2 linked regions of the Oreochromis niloticus genome follow. The protein of the gene in region 2 purifies or fractionates together with the protein of the main gene of each other region. This does not show direct contact. Links are inferred from orthologs where the notes say so. Each region holds a gene or a part of one and is shown on either strand. Other genes may lie near its edges.

Region 1 (7,316 bases), on a different chromosome or scaffold from region 2:
AATTAAGGCACGGCGGGACCGCAGATCTGTGTTTTGAGCCATCTTTATTCAACATTTGTCACACCACCACAACCCCACCAACCCCTGAGTCCCCATGTTTTAACACGGTGAGCGTGATTGCGGATGCTGTGCAGGTGCATCCGCACGGCACCGCAGTCCACGCCCCACCACATAAACCTACACAGATTTTCATGTTTTTATCTTCTGTGTTCAGCACATCGAGTTTGAGCATAATGAAATGTGCTATGTAACTAAAATTACCATTGCCAACACAAACCCACCACAGCTCTGTTAAAGGAGGAACTGACATTAATCTTTATCAGACACTTCAAATACAGAGAGAAGATAAAAAGGTGATTAAATTCAGCAATGGTTGTACCAGTTCCACATTTTCCTCCTGGCACCAATTACTTACCCTCAGACGGATGTTCAAACCCACAATCCACTATGGCTCTCAGCAGTTCAGGTTTCAATAGAAAGTCTCTGAATCCAGAGGAGTGAATGGACACATAAGAGCCCTTCACCCCCTCCTTTCTTATCGACACGTCACTTGCACCTCCAACATCTCCAGCCCCTCCGGCCTCCACCTCATCATCCTCGTAGTCCAACAGCTCGTTATCTACGTCGTTTTCTGTCATCCTGACCCTGCTGCGAAACGAGAAAAACAAATGTGGTGTATGAAACTTCAGGAACAAAGAGCTTTTAAACTTTCACAGTGCTAAAAGGATCAACATGGCCAAAGTTATAATTATTGGGGTCAGCATGTGTGCAAAAAGGAGCCAGCAGCTTAGACTTCAGGTTTTTTTTCACTCCTGGTTCGGAGACGTCAGTGAGAGCAAATGTCCTTAATCTAGCTATCTCAAGCTCATGCTCTGAGTGCAGCAGCCCAATCCCCCCTCCCAAAGTCAAGTCCTAATCAACTTCATTGTTATTATACTGACAATTAGACATACATCATTAACCCTGGTCTCCAAGTCCCTTGGAAACATGCAGGACATCGTTCCATACAATCCAGTGTATAAATGAATGACATACATGTGCAGCTCATCACTGTTTCAGAGAAGAACCATTTCTATTTTTACCAAACAAACTATAAACAGAGACCAAAATAGTGCAGAGAAGAATAAAAAAGATTCTTCACCCTCCTCAAAAAATACATAAAAATTAGAGAAAAAAGGGGAGAGAAAACAAATACACTGAAAAATGTCAACAATGTTGAGAAATGATGAATTGCTTTTTAGGCGTTTAGAGATAATTACTATGACCTGCTCCAGTTGAAACAGAGCTGTAGAATGGGGGAGAACGCTGATTTAAGTGACTTTGAACACACCTTGATTATTGGCGCCCTGTATCCTAATCTGAGTACTGCAGAAACGTCTCTGCTAAGGTTTTCCCACACAAATCCAGTGTAAACCCTTTGTAGGGTTTACAGAGAATTGTCCAATAAAAGAGAAAATATCCATGGAGTGCTTTGTTGATGTGTGAGGTCAGAGGAGAATGGCCAGACTGCTAAACTGCTTAGCTACTTGCAGACATGCATCATAACAAAACATAAGATAAATGAAGTGGGCTTACAGAGGCAGGAGAGCACACCAGGTGCCAGTCCTGTCCGCTAACAACACAACAGCAAGGCTACAACTTGAACAACATCATCACAACTGGACAACAGAAGCTTGGAAACCGTTGCCTGGTTTGATGAGTCTGCTACAACACTTGCATGGGAGGGTCAGAATTTAGCACAAACAACATGAGTGTAGATAAATACATATTTTATTGATCCCACATGTTTGTGTTACAGCAGCATGATAACAAATATGAGTAAAAATAGTACAGTCTACAATGGATGTGCAGCTGACAAATCTGCAGGAACTGTGTGATGTTATGATGTCCACATGGGCCACAATCTCTGAGAAAATGTTTTCTGCACTCTGTTAAATTGTTGGTACAAAGAATTCAATCAGAACTAAAAAGGTGTACAAAGGTTACAAAGTGTTTTGAGTGAAAGCAGAATACTTAACACCAGGTACTGTCACACTGGTGCCTATCCCAGCTTTCTTAGGGCAAGAGGCAGGGTACATCCTGGACAGGTCGTCAGTCTGTCACAGGGCTAACACATAGACACAGACAACCATTCACACCCATGGGCAATTTAGAGTTTCCAATTAACCTAACCCCACTAACTGCATGTCTTTGGAGTGTGGGAGGAAGCCGGAGTACTCATAGAAAACCCAGGGAGAACATGCAAACTCCACACATAAAGTGGAGTTGCCTGATGGTGGAACTGAATTCAGGACCTTCTTGCTGTGAGGCAACAGTGCTAACAACTGTGCCACCCTGCAAAATTAATTTATATTGCATAAATGCCAGAATAGTGGTGTGTCTAACATGAGGCACCAACTTGTACGGCAGGCTAGAATTTCTATAAGGACTCCAGTGATGTCCACCACCTCAGGTTGAAAACATGAACCAGTCCACTGTGCTAAAAAACAATTGCCTGGTTTCATTTTGAGCTTCTATTTTGAAGGAATATTCCGGAACTTTTATTTTTATTGTCGCTGAATATTAAATAGCTATAACCACACGCGCAGTTATGTTTTGACTTTTGAAAGTTCAAATCCAGCAGTACTGATATGTCTTTAAGATTTCTTCATCACACTGCAGATCATAACCGACATGAAACTACGGTCGCCATAAAACTGGGACCATCCCCGATGTCTGTTATTCACTCGGGCTCGTCTGATATTACGGCAGCTGACGTAAACACAGCGAGTGGCCTTTTTAGCAATAACCGTAAAAGCAAATTCCAAGTATTCTAAACAGCTAGCTGCAATTAGCTCAGCGGCTAACAAAGAACTCATCATATCCTCACTGGAACATCTCACGGCTCAACATTAAACTTCAGAGAGGTGACAGTCATGTTGCCGCAGGTACTGGTAACGTGCACTGCCTACAGTTCTTTTAATAATCGACATACCTTCACTACGAGAGAGAAAAGTCAACGGCTGTTTAAAGTAAAGCGCGACTGTTAGCGCGTCACAATGACGTGTAGAACGCGACAGACAACCAACCGCTGTAGGACCCGACGGTGTGTAACCATGCAGATGTCAGGCTGAAAGTAACAACAGAGAATCTTTGCTATAAACCGCGTCTTGTTTAGATTGCCAATCCTGTGAAGACATTAAACGGTAAATCATCAAAGTCTTTTGTTAAAGCCTAAGGCTGACGACGAAAGCTGAACACAGCGTTAGTTGACAGTTACAGATTTAATCGACTGCACTTCACGTGTTCAAGTGCCACGTGCGGTGTTTTGCTCCAGTGAGTGTTAGACAACAAAACAACATTACCGCTTTAACTTATTTTGGAAGGTAAGCTCTAAAATGTGAATCGACAAAGCAAAATAAGTCAGTCTAAATTTTTATTCGATACTATTTTACAGTTATTGATAATATCAAAATGTATAACAATAATACTTTACATGAAACAGAGATGTCGTGTTTTGGTGGTGGTCCCAACTTCTGCCCAGAGTGTGGGAATGTTCTTCCTCTCCCAGGAATACCGGACGTAGTGTGCTGCCCCGGCTGCTCTTTTAGGATCCCTGTATCAGGTAAATTCCATATCAGAGTTTATGCGAGTGTGAGCATGAGCAGCAGAGATTTTGCTGCTATCTCACTTTTTGTTTTTCTCATTTCACTTCCATCTTGATATTCCTGTGATATTTATACAGCTTGTACAAATGAAACGGCAAAGCAGAGTAGCTATCTGAGAGCTATCTGCTGTCCATCTTTGGATCATTTTAGTTTCTTGCAGCAAGTGATTGTATTTTCCTAAGCTCAATATACAGTATTGTGGCAAAAGAATTCACTCACTCATCCAAATCACTGAATTTGGTGTTTCAATCACTTCCATGGTCACAGGTGTATAAAATCAAGCACCCAGGCATGCAGACCGCCTCTACAAACATTTGTGAAAGTATGGGTTGTTCTCAGGAGCTCAGTGAGTTCCAGCATGGTAATGTGATAGGATGCCACCTGTGCAACAAGTCCAGTCAAGTCCTCAGTACTAAATATTCCAGAGTCAGCTGTTGGTAGTGGTAAGCAAAGCAGAAGTGATCGGAAACGGCAGCAACTCAGCCACAAAGAGGTGGGGCATGTAAAATCAGAGCAGGGTCAGCAGATGTTGAGGCGCACTGAGTGCAGAGGATGGCAACTTTCTCAGAGTCAATCACTACAGACCTCCAGACTTCATGTGGCCTTCAGATTAGATCAGAACAGTGTGTAAAGAGCTTCATGGGATGGGTTTCCATGACCACCAGCTGCATCCAAGCCTTACATCACCAAATGGAATGCAAAGTGCTGGATGCAGTGGTTTAAAGCAGTGGTGGACTCTACAGCAGTGGAGACCTGTTCTCTGGACTGATGAATCACGCCTCTTTTTCTGGCTATCCGATGGATGAGTCTGGGTTTGGTGGTAGCCAGGAGAGCAGTTCTTGTCTGACTGCATTGAGCCAAGTGTAAAGTTTGGTGGAGGGGGGATTATGGTGTGGGGTTGTTTTTAAGGAGTTATTTCCAGTAAAAGGAACTCTTAATGCTTCAGCAAGCCAGACAGACGATGCTGCACAAAGTGCTTAACAATATAAAAATGCCATTAAAAAGAGACAATGTAAAACAATAATAACAATATAAAACAATGATAGGACAATAAAATAATTAAAACAATAACTAAGACTATTAAAATAAGACAAAAATTTTTGGGTCATAGTGTGTTAAAAGCCAGGGCATAAAAAGTAGTGATTTAAATTGATCAAGTGTTTGTGCAGGTCTAATATTTAGGGGGAGACTATTCCAAAGTCTGGGACCTGCCACAGAGAAAGCTCTATCGCCACGAGATTTGAGATCAGTCCGTGGGATGGAAAGCATTAATTTTGAGCTAGACCTCATGGTTTTTCCTGGAGCATAAACAGAAAGGAGCTCAGACAGGTAAGAAGGGGCTCGGACGTTAAGTGACTTTAAAACAAAAAGTAAAAGTTTAAATTGGATCCTGTAGGAGACAGGAAGCCAGTGTAGAGAAGCTAAAACTGGGGTTATATGCTCTCTCCGTTTGGTCCCAGTTAGCAGGCGAGCAGCTGCATTTTGGACCATCTGAAGACAATGAATGGAGTTCTGGTCGAGACCAAAATACAATGAATTGCAGTAGTCCAACCTGCAAGTAAGGAAGAGGCGAATAACACGTTCAAAGACGTTAGCCGGGAAGTATGGCTTTACCTTGGCCAGCTGTCTTAACTGAAAGAATCAGAACTGGACTACTGCACTCACCTGCTTATTCAATTTAAAAGAACCATCAAGGTAGACACCAAGGTTTTTTACATGTGTTTTACAATAGGAGGAAAAGGGGCCTAGAGTGCTATCGATGTGATTATTGACAAAGTTGCCGAAAATGACAACTTAAGTTTTATTTTCATTTAGCTTTAGAAAATTTAACGACATCCACTGTTTGATGTCGTCAAGGCAGCGTAATAAGAGCTGGGGACGGTCAGACCCTGCTTTTAAAGGCAGATAAATCTGCAAATCATCAGCGAAACAGTGGAATGAAATGTTGTAACACGAGAAGATGGAACCCAATGGCAACAAATAGAGTGCAAACAGGGCAGGACCCAAAATAGAGCCTTGAGGTACACCGTATTTAAGAGGGGCTAGTTTGGAGTTATGGGGGCCATATTGACATAAAAAGACCTTCCTGACAAGTAGGACCGAAACCACTGTAGGGCAGATCCCTTTAGGCCAGCATGAAATTCTAGCCGTCATAACAGGATGTCATGGTCGACCGTGTCAAAAGCTGCTGACAGGTCCAACAATAAAAGGGCAGCAGGGCTACCAGAGTCCAGAGTTAAAAGAATATCATTAAAAATCCTTAAAAGTGCCGTCTCAGTGCTATGTAATGATTTAAAACCAGATTGAATTTTTTCAGAAATCACATTCAAATCAAGGTGGGCCTGCAACTGTAAGTAGACCACTTTCTCCAAAACTTTAGACAGTAAAGGAAGCTTTGAGATTGGCCTGTAATTGGACAGAACAGTTGGGTCCAGGTTATTTTTTTTTAAGAAGAGGCTGAACTATTGCTTGTTTAAAGCATGATGGAACACAGCAAGGGACAGATTAATTAATCTCAGGATAAAAGGCCCGACAGTATTAAAAGTGTTTTTAAGCAAACTTGGGGGGAGACAATCAGAGGGGCAGTATGATGATCTTAAGTTACAAACTACCGCACTCAAGTCATTCAGGGAGACAGGATCAAACTGCTCTAAGACAACTGAGCACATAGGAGAAAGACTAGGATCTGAGGCAGCAGTCGACGAGACAAGAGCCTAGGGGTGGGCGGTATAAACGGTATACGGTAGAAACAATATAAATTTGGCCAACAGTAGAGATTTTGACTATACCGCACTACCGCAATAGCGCATGTTGATGGTGTCATCAAGCTGCGTCTGTTTTGGTCGAAAGCATCGCAGCGGCTGCAAACAATATCATCTGCAAATTATGCCAACGACAGTAATAGCAAAGAGATGAAGCACTTTTGGAATATGGGGAAAGCCAAAAACTGCGCTTCCTCCACTTCCGTATCATTGAGTCATTAATGCTGAATTCCCTCGCAGCTGCTCTATTCCCATGTTGTTGCAGTATATTAATGACTAACCTCGTATTGTGGATGGATTATCTCAGTTGTTCTCCTGACTGAAGTTTGGTCCGTTTACAGCATCCTGCCATGGGATTGCATTTGTCCCTAACCATCAGGAACCTTCACGTTAACTTTTATCGAGTGGAAAAAAGTTAGCATTCATCCTTCAGCTTCACTGTGCTAATGTTATGCTAACGTAGCTGTGTTGCTAGCGATCACATAGAAGATCATTATATACCAGCTAGCCCAACTTCAGTAACCCTACAAAAGTCACTGCTGTTGAGTTTCCTGTCTCAACAGGAAATTTATGTCATTTATGTTGGAAGTGATAGCAGAGCTGTACGTTTGAATTTTTTCAGAAATCTCTCAGTCAGAACATGTTATATCATTTTTAGGTGGAAACTAGCGAGCTAACTTCCTGCTAACTTCTAACTCCGTTGAATTTAATAGATTCTGTTTTCATGGATGCCTGGATGTTAAGCTTAATTGTTACACCTGGTAAAGCAGCAACGCTGATCATTTTATTAAAGATGAAAGAATTTACACAGTTTTTAACTCTCAGTGATGCTGCAGTGTTCGTTTGACTTTGGGACCTGAAGGAGACGGAGTTTTGGACCCAGATTTCTCTGCAAGGCTCCTGACTA
Region 2 (8,229 bases):
GGTTTGAGCGGCGGGGGCAGGGAGGCCATATCCACGTCGGGAAGCGAGTGACCACCTCTTCAGGAACAGTCCGGACTCCTTCAGGCCCTTGGACGGTGAGGGGAACTCGAGGGGAGAGAGCTGAAACACAAGTGTCACCTGACCATACTGTCTTTTCTCTTTAGGTTATGTGATATGTAGCTGGCACAGTGCAAGAGTACAAAAACAGTTTGGGGTTTGTTTTTTTTTTTGGAGTGACTGGCTTTCTGTAAAGTCTGAATCTCGTGGTGAGTACAGCACTTTGTCAGCCTTCCCCCCCACCATTGTTCCTGCATGTCTGCAGTGAGAGTGAGGGTGGGGGGCGTGAGGAAGTCTTGACTTTTCTGTTTTGTTTTGTTTTTTTGAGGGGGATTATTTTGATTGTCTTTACCTATCAGGTGTAAATTTCCAGGCACTCAGTTCATTTTGGGCCTGCTCCAGTTTGTCTTTAGTCTGTTCCAGTTCAGCCTTCATTTTGAGGAAAAACAAGTTGATGGATGGGTCCACCATGGACGACCGCAGTTGGGCCACGCTCGGCTGCTGGACTTGCTTGAGGTACTGGATCTGCGTCTGCAGGATACAACAAACACATGTGACTGGCAGGAACAAATAAACAAGTGTTTTATCATGGTTCAAGAGAAAATTCTTGGGTTTGGCTCTGATCTCCAGTAGCCGTGTTTTTCCTCTTAAAAAATAAACAAAATGTGTAAAATTGGAAATCGCCATCTTCTGATGGCAACTTTTCTGCTAAAGTTATCTAAAGATGTGGACTCAAACAATTTAAGCATGTTACCTTAGAGCAACACTTGGTACCTACCATCTACAAAGTTTTCAAGACAAAATCTCTAAGTGACAATTACTTCCAATCATTTGACAGTTGCCTTTCCAGGCCCGGGGAGATCAGACTGGTCCAAAACAAATGAAACTCACCTGCCAAAGTTATGATGACATCAACCATTTTTGTTGTTGTTTTTTTGTGTGTGTGTGTGTGTGTGTGTCTCAAACACATTTAGCTTAAAATTCTGGTATTTCTGTTGAAAACTGTGTCCCCATGCTTTCCATTTCAATGTGACTGCAGGGTTTCCAAGTTTAAAGCCTGTGCGTTGAGCTCACCTCAGCTGCACTTTAAGAATGGCATGTGCTACCATAAAGCAGCTGTTTGATCCACTGAGCTGTCAATCTGGCAAGAGCAAAGGATGCCTTGGCTTGAAATAATTTACTTTTAGCCTCTTTTCCATGATCATGACAGTTTACTAAGGAAAGCTCTCTGCTGGAGTGTTGCAAATTATTCAATTCATTTAAATTTAGTAATAAAGTTAAATTATTTTGCACTTTGAAAACTTGTATTATTAAATTTAGAATTTAGCATAATAATTACCCAGTTTTGACATGTTTAATAGCAACCTGTAACATCATTACTCATTCACAAAGTTACTGATGTTCTTTTTGGTGAAATCTTAATGAAAGAAAGCTCATTTAAACATTATGTTAGAAGGGCTATATTCCTATAAGAACTATATCAAGTACTCAAACTGTAGTACTAATGGAAACTGAATGTCAAGCATAATTAGAGGAATAAATACATACTGTGCACTCTTGCATTTCCTGCTCCTTGGTGGCAAGTCGCATGACCAAGATGTTTTCCCTCCGCGCGGATTCCTGCTGCTGCTGCTTGAGCTTTTCCTCCGACTCCTTCAGCCCTGGAACGTCATTGGCTGAGGCGATAAAAGCGGTGCAGAAATGCAAAACATATCAGAAAAATTCCTTTCACTGACTGCCACAGACAGCAGCACCGGGCAAAAACATGGTGATTGTTGAGATGCTGACAAGGTTAAATCATAACCGTGTCTTATAGCAGGTGTACTTACAACATAGCTCCGCATATTTCGCCTCCAAGACCTGGACATAGGCTTCATGCTGTTTCCACCTGTGATGGGCAGAACATGTTTTAGCTGCTCATCCAAAACACAAACACCAAATTCCCCCTACCACAAAATAATCACCAACAGCAGAGCTGTTACCTACCTTGCACACAACTCTTCTCTGGTCAGAGTCTTCATGTCCGATTCACTAAGGCGAACCTGTGTGAACGAAAACCCAAGCACTGGTTACATAAAGAAACCCATTAGAATATTTGGAGGGTGGTGGGCAGGGTCGTGACACATAACAAATTACAAGGGGTACATTAGAATAAGAAAAGAAACTCACTTTCTTGGGTAGAGGCTCCTCGTTGGTCATTGTGAACCCTGTAAGTAAAAACACGACAGGAAATCAGCAGTAATTACAGCTTGGGGTTGTGTGCTTAAAGGACTGCATCATGTTTTAACGCGATGGCTATCAACACGCAGTACAATGTACAGCAACTCTGATAACTCGGTACAAAAGCTGTGCCTTTCAGCTAATAGATGACCCTGATGGTGTGTGAGGAACACATTAACTATCCCGCAAAACCAAATCAAAGTTAATATTAGCAGTTTATAAGAGCAGCCGAGCCTTGTGTTAGCTCGTGTGACAAGCAGCAGCAGCAACGGACCGCGAGAAATGGAAAATATGCTAACCAAGGTTAACACTGGGCTGCTAATAAGGTTTAGCTGTTTCCGTTAGCAAACTAACTACACGTAACGAAACAGCAGTACCGAGCTTCACTATTTCCCTATGTCCAGCCTGGCAGCATACAAGTCTTGGATCTGTTTTCCGCTCCTTGTTATCACAAAATGGCGGTGAAGGAAATGACTCCCTCCCTAGCACTCCTTTTCCTGAAACTAGCGGGCTCTGGGTGGCAGATATCGGGCCTTCAGCCATCAAAGAAAAATCACTTACCAGATCAGTTTCTTTCGATGTTTCTGGATCCTCTTGGTGTCAGGGGTTCTTTGTGAAACGAGAACCTGCGACTTGGTTAAAAATTATGGGGAAGTTATTTGTAGTCGTCTCGCTTCGGCGTGGTCAACAGCATCTTCCTCGCGGTCGACTAAACAGAATGGCTGTAGCTGGGCGCTGCGCTGCACTTGCCTTACTGCAGAGTTCTAGCACAGATAGAGGCAAAGAGCGAGACCTCTCACTCCGCAGCGATTTTAAGATCATAAAATGTACCCCTCAAATAACAGTAAACAGTAGATATTTTTTATGTGATTTTGATGAATTCATCCCCGCATTGCTATTTTTATTGTATTATTTTTAGCCTTAGTTTGTATGAATGGATGTTTTTAATTATTAACTAATGTATTTATGTTAACAAATGTATTTAAATATATACACAGCACAAAGCTCCCCCTTTTGTACTATTGGTAGGAGTAGTTTGAAGAAATACTTTTTTAATTATTATGAGTGTTCATAAACATAATTATTTGAATTAATTCATAAAAGAAATCTAGAGTAGAGAAATCCTTAGTGTGCCTTGACATTAGCCTTTGGTGCATCATCGACTGTGAGTTGTACCGAAACTTGTTTCTGCTGTTGAAGAAAGAAGTGTTTCTTTTTAGGATCTTGAAATGTAGACTTCAAAAAGACTAAAAAATAACTCGAAATTGTGAAATAATAAGCCATATTTTCTTTTTTATTTCTGTTGCAGAAATAACTTCCTGTTGTTCCATGAAGTTGACACTTCTGGTGCATGCTAGAATTGTTCTCAGTTTAGTGTCCACCAGAAGTGACACCGTGTTCTGAATTCAAACCTGAGGGTTTTCCCTTTTAAGCAAGCGTTGTTTGCTTCTTAGTGCGCCATTATTTTAATATAGACGATCTCCGCCATTGCCTCCACTGTTGTGGGGAGAACGTTCACGTGACTCTCTGCTGTTAGTTTTTTTATTTTTTTAATTATGCTTGTATTAATTATGTATTAAGAACTACTCCTTTAAATATATGCTTTGTTTTGCAATAAATAAACAGAGTGAATAGATTTACAATAAATGAAATATACGAGAAGAATTTTTTTTTTTTTTTTTCATAACAGTGATATAATGCACTTTTTTAAAGCTACGGAAAACCTACTAGAGGGAGGAGTTGCAAAATAATACAGAAGGTAAGGAGCTTTGTTTATTATTATTCCAGAGTATCGGGATGCGTTTTTAATACAGTCTCTCTCATCTGCCAAGTGTCTCTAATAATGTGTGTCGTTGTCACATGTAGCCGCTTGACTCCTGTGTTTATCCAATTCCCGGACACCCCCACAGCATAGATGTAATGGTACGGTCGCCTCCTCTGTCAACTTGAAATTGCACATTTCAAGGGCAGTTGTTATCAGCGTGTGTATTCCTTCATTCTGTCCATTGAACAGCATTAGGAACATGCTTTGCAGAGCTGGACAAATACGCAGGTAAGATTGTTGTCACTTGAGTATTTGGTGCGTGTACTGTGCTCAGAGTGCATACGGAATCGGGGCTCTTGACTTCTGCTAGCAGCAGTTGTTCTTGAACGTGACAGTTGCTTATTGATAGCTAGCAGTTAGCTAACCGAAATGCTAACTGGCAGCTCAGCTAGGTTAGCTTATGGCGCACTAAATACAGGGTTTTGTTTATTAAACGCGTAATCATCCTGTTATGAGCTCGTGCATGAAGTTATGAACCGAATGTCTTAATATTGAGCCAGTATCATGTGTTCAGTGAACTAATATGTAGATGACTGTGCTTCAAGAGCTGCATAAATCCAGTATCAACAACAGACATTTAGGTCAGTTGCTTAAGTAAGCTAAAAATCCTACCTCTGATACCCTGCAGGGAAGTAATTTGGTACGGCTTAGTTGCACAGCCCTGTCAATAGCTCCTTAGCAAATTACTCTTTGATAAGAAAACTATAGTTTAAAAGTAGTTCTGTTTGGTACATCTCAATTTCTGTATCCCTAAATAACTGAATTACAGTTTTCTTGCTGATGTCATGACATTTTCATGATGTCATGCCTTATTTCATGCTGTATTACTTCATTATTTCTTTTCAGGTGTGCAGCCAGCCTCAGCCACACTATTAGCAAGGTAGCTGCATCGAGGCAGAAGCATACTCTCCCTGACCTGACATACGACTATGGTGCCCTGGAGCCCTACGTCAGTGCAGAGATCATGCAGCTGCATCACAGCAAGCACCATGCTACATATGTCAACAACCTAAATGTTACAGAAGAGAAGTATCAGGAGGCTCTTGCAAAGGGTATGGGCAGAGTCGCATGATATTTCACTTCACATGACTCTAATTGAAAATGAAGACTTTAAAAGTAGTTGTCTATATGAAGTTGTAATTAAGATTCTGATATGTACGTTACAGTTTTTTTCCTTAAAGATTTTTCCCCCAAACATAAATGTGTAAGAGTTTGACAGAAGCTGTATGTTGTGTATATTTGACTTACATTTTTAGGAGACGTGACAACACAGGTTGCTCTCCAGCCTGCCCTCAAGTTTAATGGAGGCGGCCACATTAACCACACCATCTTCTGGACAAATCTCTCTCCAAATGGTGGAGGTGAACCACAAGGTAAGACAGAGAAATCCACAAAAATACAAAAAACGGTATATGACCAGACTAAGACAACTCATGGCCAATCAACTTGTTTGTCTTTAATCAGATCACTTGGTTTTTCTCTGAGACATGCTGACTCTTATTGAATGTGCAACTTAATTTTATGACTTGCTGAAAAGTTGATTCATATGGTTGCAGAGTTTTTTTAGTGTTACATAATGACTGAAAATTGCACCATTTCCTAATAACTGGCTTAAAGCTCAGTTTTGTTAATATGGAAATTGTCATGAAATTTGATCAGTGGCCATGAGTACTATTCAGAGTTGGGGGAATGGTTGCAGTCACCGAATTGTATCATCACTTGGATAAGTGCAACATTTCTTTCACTGAAAACACTCCAACCAAGAAATTTATGTGTTGTGCCATTTCACTGAAGCATACACATCTGTTTGACAACTTTGTAGGAGAGCTAATGGAGGCAATCAAACGGGACTTTGGCTCCTTTCAGAAGATGAAAGAGAAGATGTCTGCTGTTACGGTGGCTGTACAGGGCTCAGGCTGGGGGTGGCTTGGCTTTGACAAGGACAGTGGAAGACTTCGCATTGCTGCTTGTGCTAACCAGGATCCTTTGCAGGGGACAACAGGTCAGTTGGACTTTTTGTGATTTGGTGCATATAAATAAAACTAAATTGAATAAATGCGACTTGGCCATCTAACTGCCACATGGCCTTTTTGTATGTATTTTTTTGGCACTTAGGTCTCACTCCCCTCCTTGGTATTGATGTATGGGAGCATGCTTACTACCTTCAATACAAGAATGTGCGACCTGACTATGTGAAGGCTATCTGGAATGTAGTCAACTGGGAGAACGTGAGTGAGCGTCTTCAGATGGCCAAAAAGTAGAAGCTGATGCACAGCAACCACTAAGACTTGGATCAAACAGTAGTTGCCTGCATTGAATCAGAATTTAAAAAATCAGACTTATGACAGTTCAAACCTTCAGACGTAACTGGCATTTAAACTGTCTTTAAAATAATTTTGGGTTTTGTTTTTTTTGGTACATATATTGTACGTGAAAAAGCTGAAGCTAGCGGGCAAGTACTGTTTATCTCTGGTCTGTTCTCAACCGCTAGTAATTTTGAAAGCGCACAATAATGGACAACTTTAACATCAAAGCTGGCTTTTGCCATTCTCACATCTTATGAGTGGCATACCAGGTGTAAGATAACACGAGTGCATATTCAGATAGCTGTCTCAGTCAGGTTAAGCCACACTAAAATCAGACAATGTTATTGCAGTCCTTGTATTTGCTGTATGATAATAAAAATCAGAAATTGTAATAAAACAGTTGTAAAAGCTTGATTCTTCTTCTTTCTTTCCTTTTTTCATTACCTGTAAGATTCTAAAATTTCACTTTTTTTTTTTCTTTTTTTTTTCTCCCCCCCCCTCTAAGCTATAAGAGAAGCTGGAGTTAAAAATGCAGTTCTATACTTTATTTAGTTTAAATCCTCATGGCCCCATTATAGGGCAGTGTTGAATACTGGTCACTGAGGCTCATGTTTTCAAATGCGTTTTAGCTCAGTTGGTGTTAAAAGATGGATGTCAACATTGTATTGTGTGTAGGTTTTATTTTTTTTCTCCTCTCCTGTCTAATACTTTAAAGTTTCACCCAAGATGAGTTCAGTCCAATCAAGATTTAAATCCAGGCATTAAGTACCTTGATTTCTTAACAAAGGTCACATAAACCTCACGATTCTGTCAAGCTGAAAAATCTTAGGTTTTATGCCTACATCTGGTCATACTGCTGCTATTTACAATGTTCCCAGAAGAGGGCAGTGTTCCCTTAACATTTGTGCTTAGGCTCCTGCTGTGTATACAGGACTGTGCAAACTAATTTACAAAGAGCCAAATCTTTGTGGGTTTTGGTTCAATGAAAACTGGACAGGATGACTACTATCTGAAATTCATGTGAGTAGGGACAAAAACAAAACAAAGCCACTTGCTCTTGACGGAAATTTAATCAGAAATGGTCTCAGTGGAAGGATGGCTTTCCATGGGGAGAAAACACTGAGGTAATTAAAGATTAAAGACCTGTACAACAGTAAGTGTCTACAGCCATCTGTAAAACAGTGGAGGCTCTATCATGGTTGGAGCTTCAGTCAGTGGTGTTGGAGATCTTATCAAGACTGATGGAATTATAAATGCAGAAAAGACAGATTTTGATCCACCGTGCACTGCCACCTGGAAAGCATCTGATTGGCAATGGCTTCATTTTTCAGCATGACAATGATCCCAAACACACTACCAATATAGTAAAAGCATAGCTGGATAGGAAAACACACAATCAGTCATGCATTGGCCTCCCCAGAGCACAGACCTCAACATTATTGAAGCATTGTAGAGTGATCCTGACAGAGAACAGAACAAAAGGCAGCCAGCATCCAAACAAGAGCTTTCCTTCAAAAAGTCTGGAGAACTTTTCCTGAAGACTAAAGAAATGACAAGAAAACATGGCAAAGAGAGTTCAGACCACTTTAAAGACTAAAGGTGATCACACCAAATATGAACTTTTAATAGAATTGAAATGTACCAACTCTGTTCTTGCTTTATATACAATAAAATTGCACTCATTTCCTATTTCACAAATGAAATATACAGAAAATATACACTGTATATGTATATATATTTAGAGATGCTTGATAATTAAGTGCTTGAAGTTAATTAATGCATAAGAGATTGCAGACAAGGCTGTGAAACATTTACAGTTTT

What was found.
Region 1: the proteins of wtap (region 2) and ddx39b purify together in Homo sapiens (affinity purification with mass spectrometry; 3 studies listed by BioGRID and IntAct, with this or other methods). This does not show direct contact. The link is inferred for Oreochromis niloticus from reciprocal best matches to the Homo sapiens genes WTAP and DDX39B.

What each region holds. Positions count from the first base shown.
Region 1 is NC_031985.2:37,864,383-37,871,698, reverse strand, and holds the start of ddx39b (DEAD (Asp-Glu-Ala-Asp) box polypeptide 39B), read right to left. Parts: upstream 3,109-7,316; 5' UTR 2,975-3,108; intron 649-2,974; 5' UTR 639-648; coding exon 416-638; intron 1-415. Other genes in the region: polr1h (DNA-directed RNA polymerase I subunit RPA12), read left to right, coding at 3,487-3,604. UniProt on the Homo sapiens protein: Involved in nuclear export of spliced and unspliced mRNA. Component of the TREX complex which is thought to couple mRNA transcription, processing and nuclear export, and specifically associates with spliced mRNA and not with unspliced pre-mRNA.
Region 2 is NC_031980.2:12,346,398-12,354,626, reverse strand, and holds the start of wtap (pre-mRNA-splicing regulator WTAP), read right to left. Parts: upstream 3,044-8,229; 5' UTR 2,839-3,043; intron 2,265-2,838; 5' UTR 2,257-2,264; coding exon 2,227-2,256; intron 2,100-2,226; coding exon 2,044-2,099; intron 1,946-2,043; coding exon 1,887-1,945; intron 1,734-1,886; coding exon 1,606-1,733; intron 589-1,605; coding exon 410-588; intron 1-409. Other genes in the region: sod2 (superoxide dismutase [Mn], mitochondrial), read left to right, coding at 4,302-4,330, 4,949-5,154, 5,359-5,475, 5,925-6,104, 6,218-6,363. UniProt on the Homo sapiens protein: Associated component of the WMM complex, a complex that mediates N6-methyladenosine (m6A) methylation of RNAs, a modification that plays a role in the efficiency of mRNA splicing and RNA processing.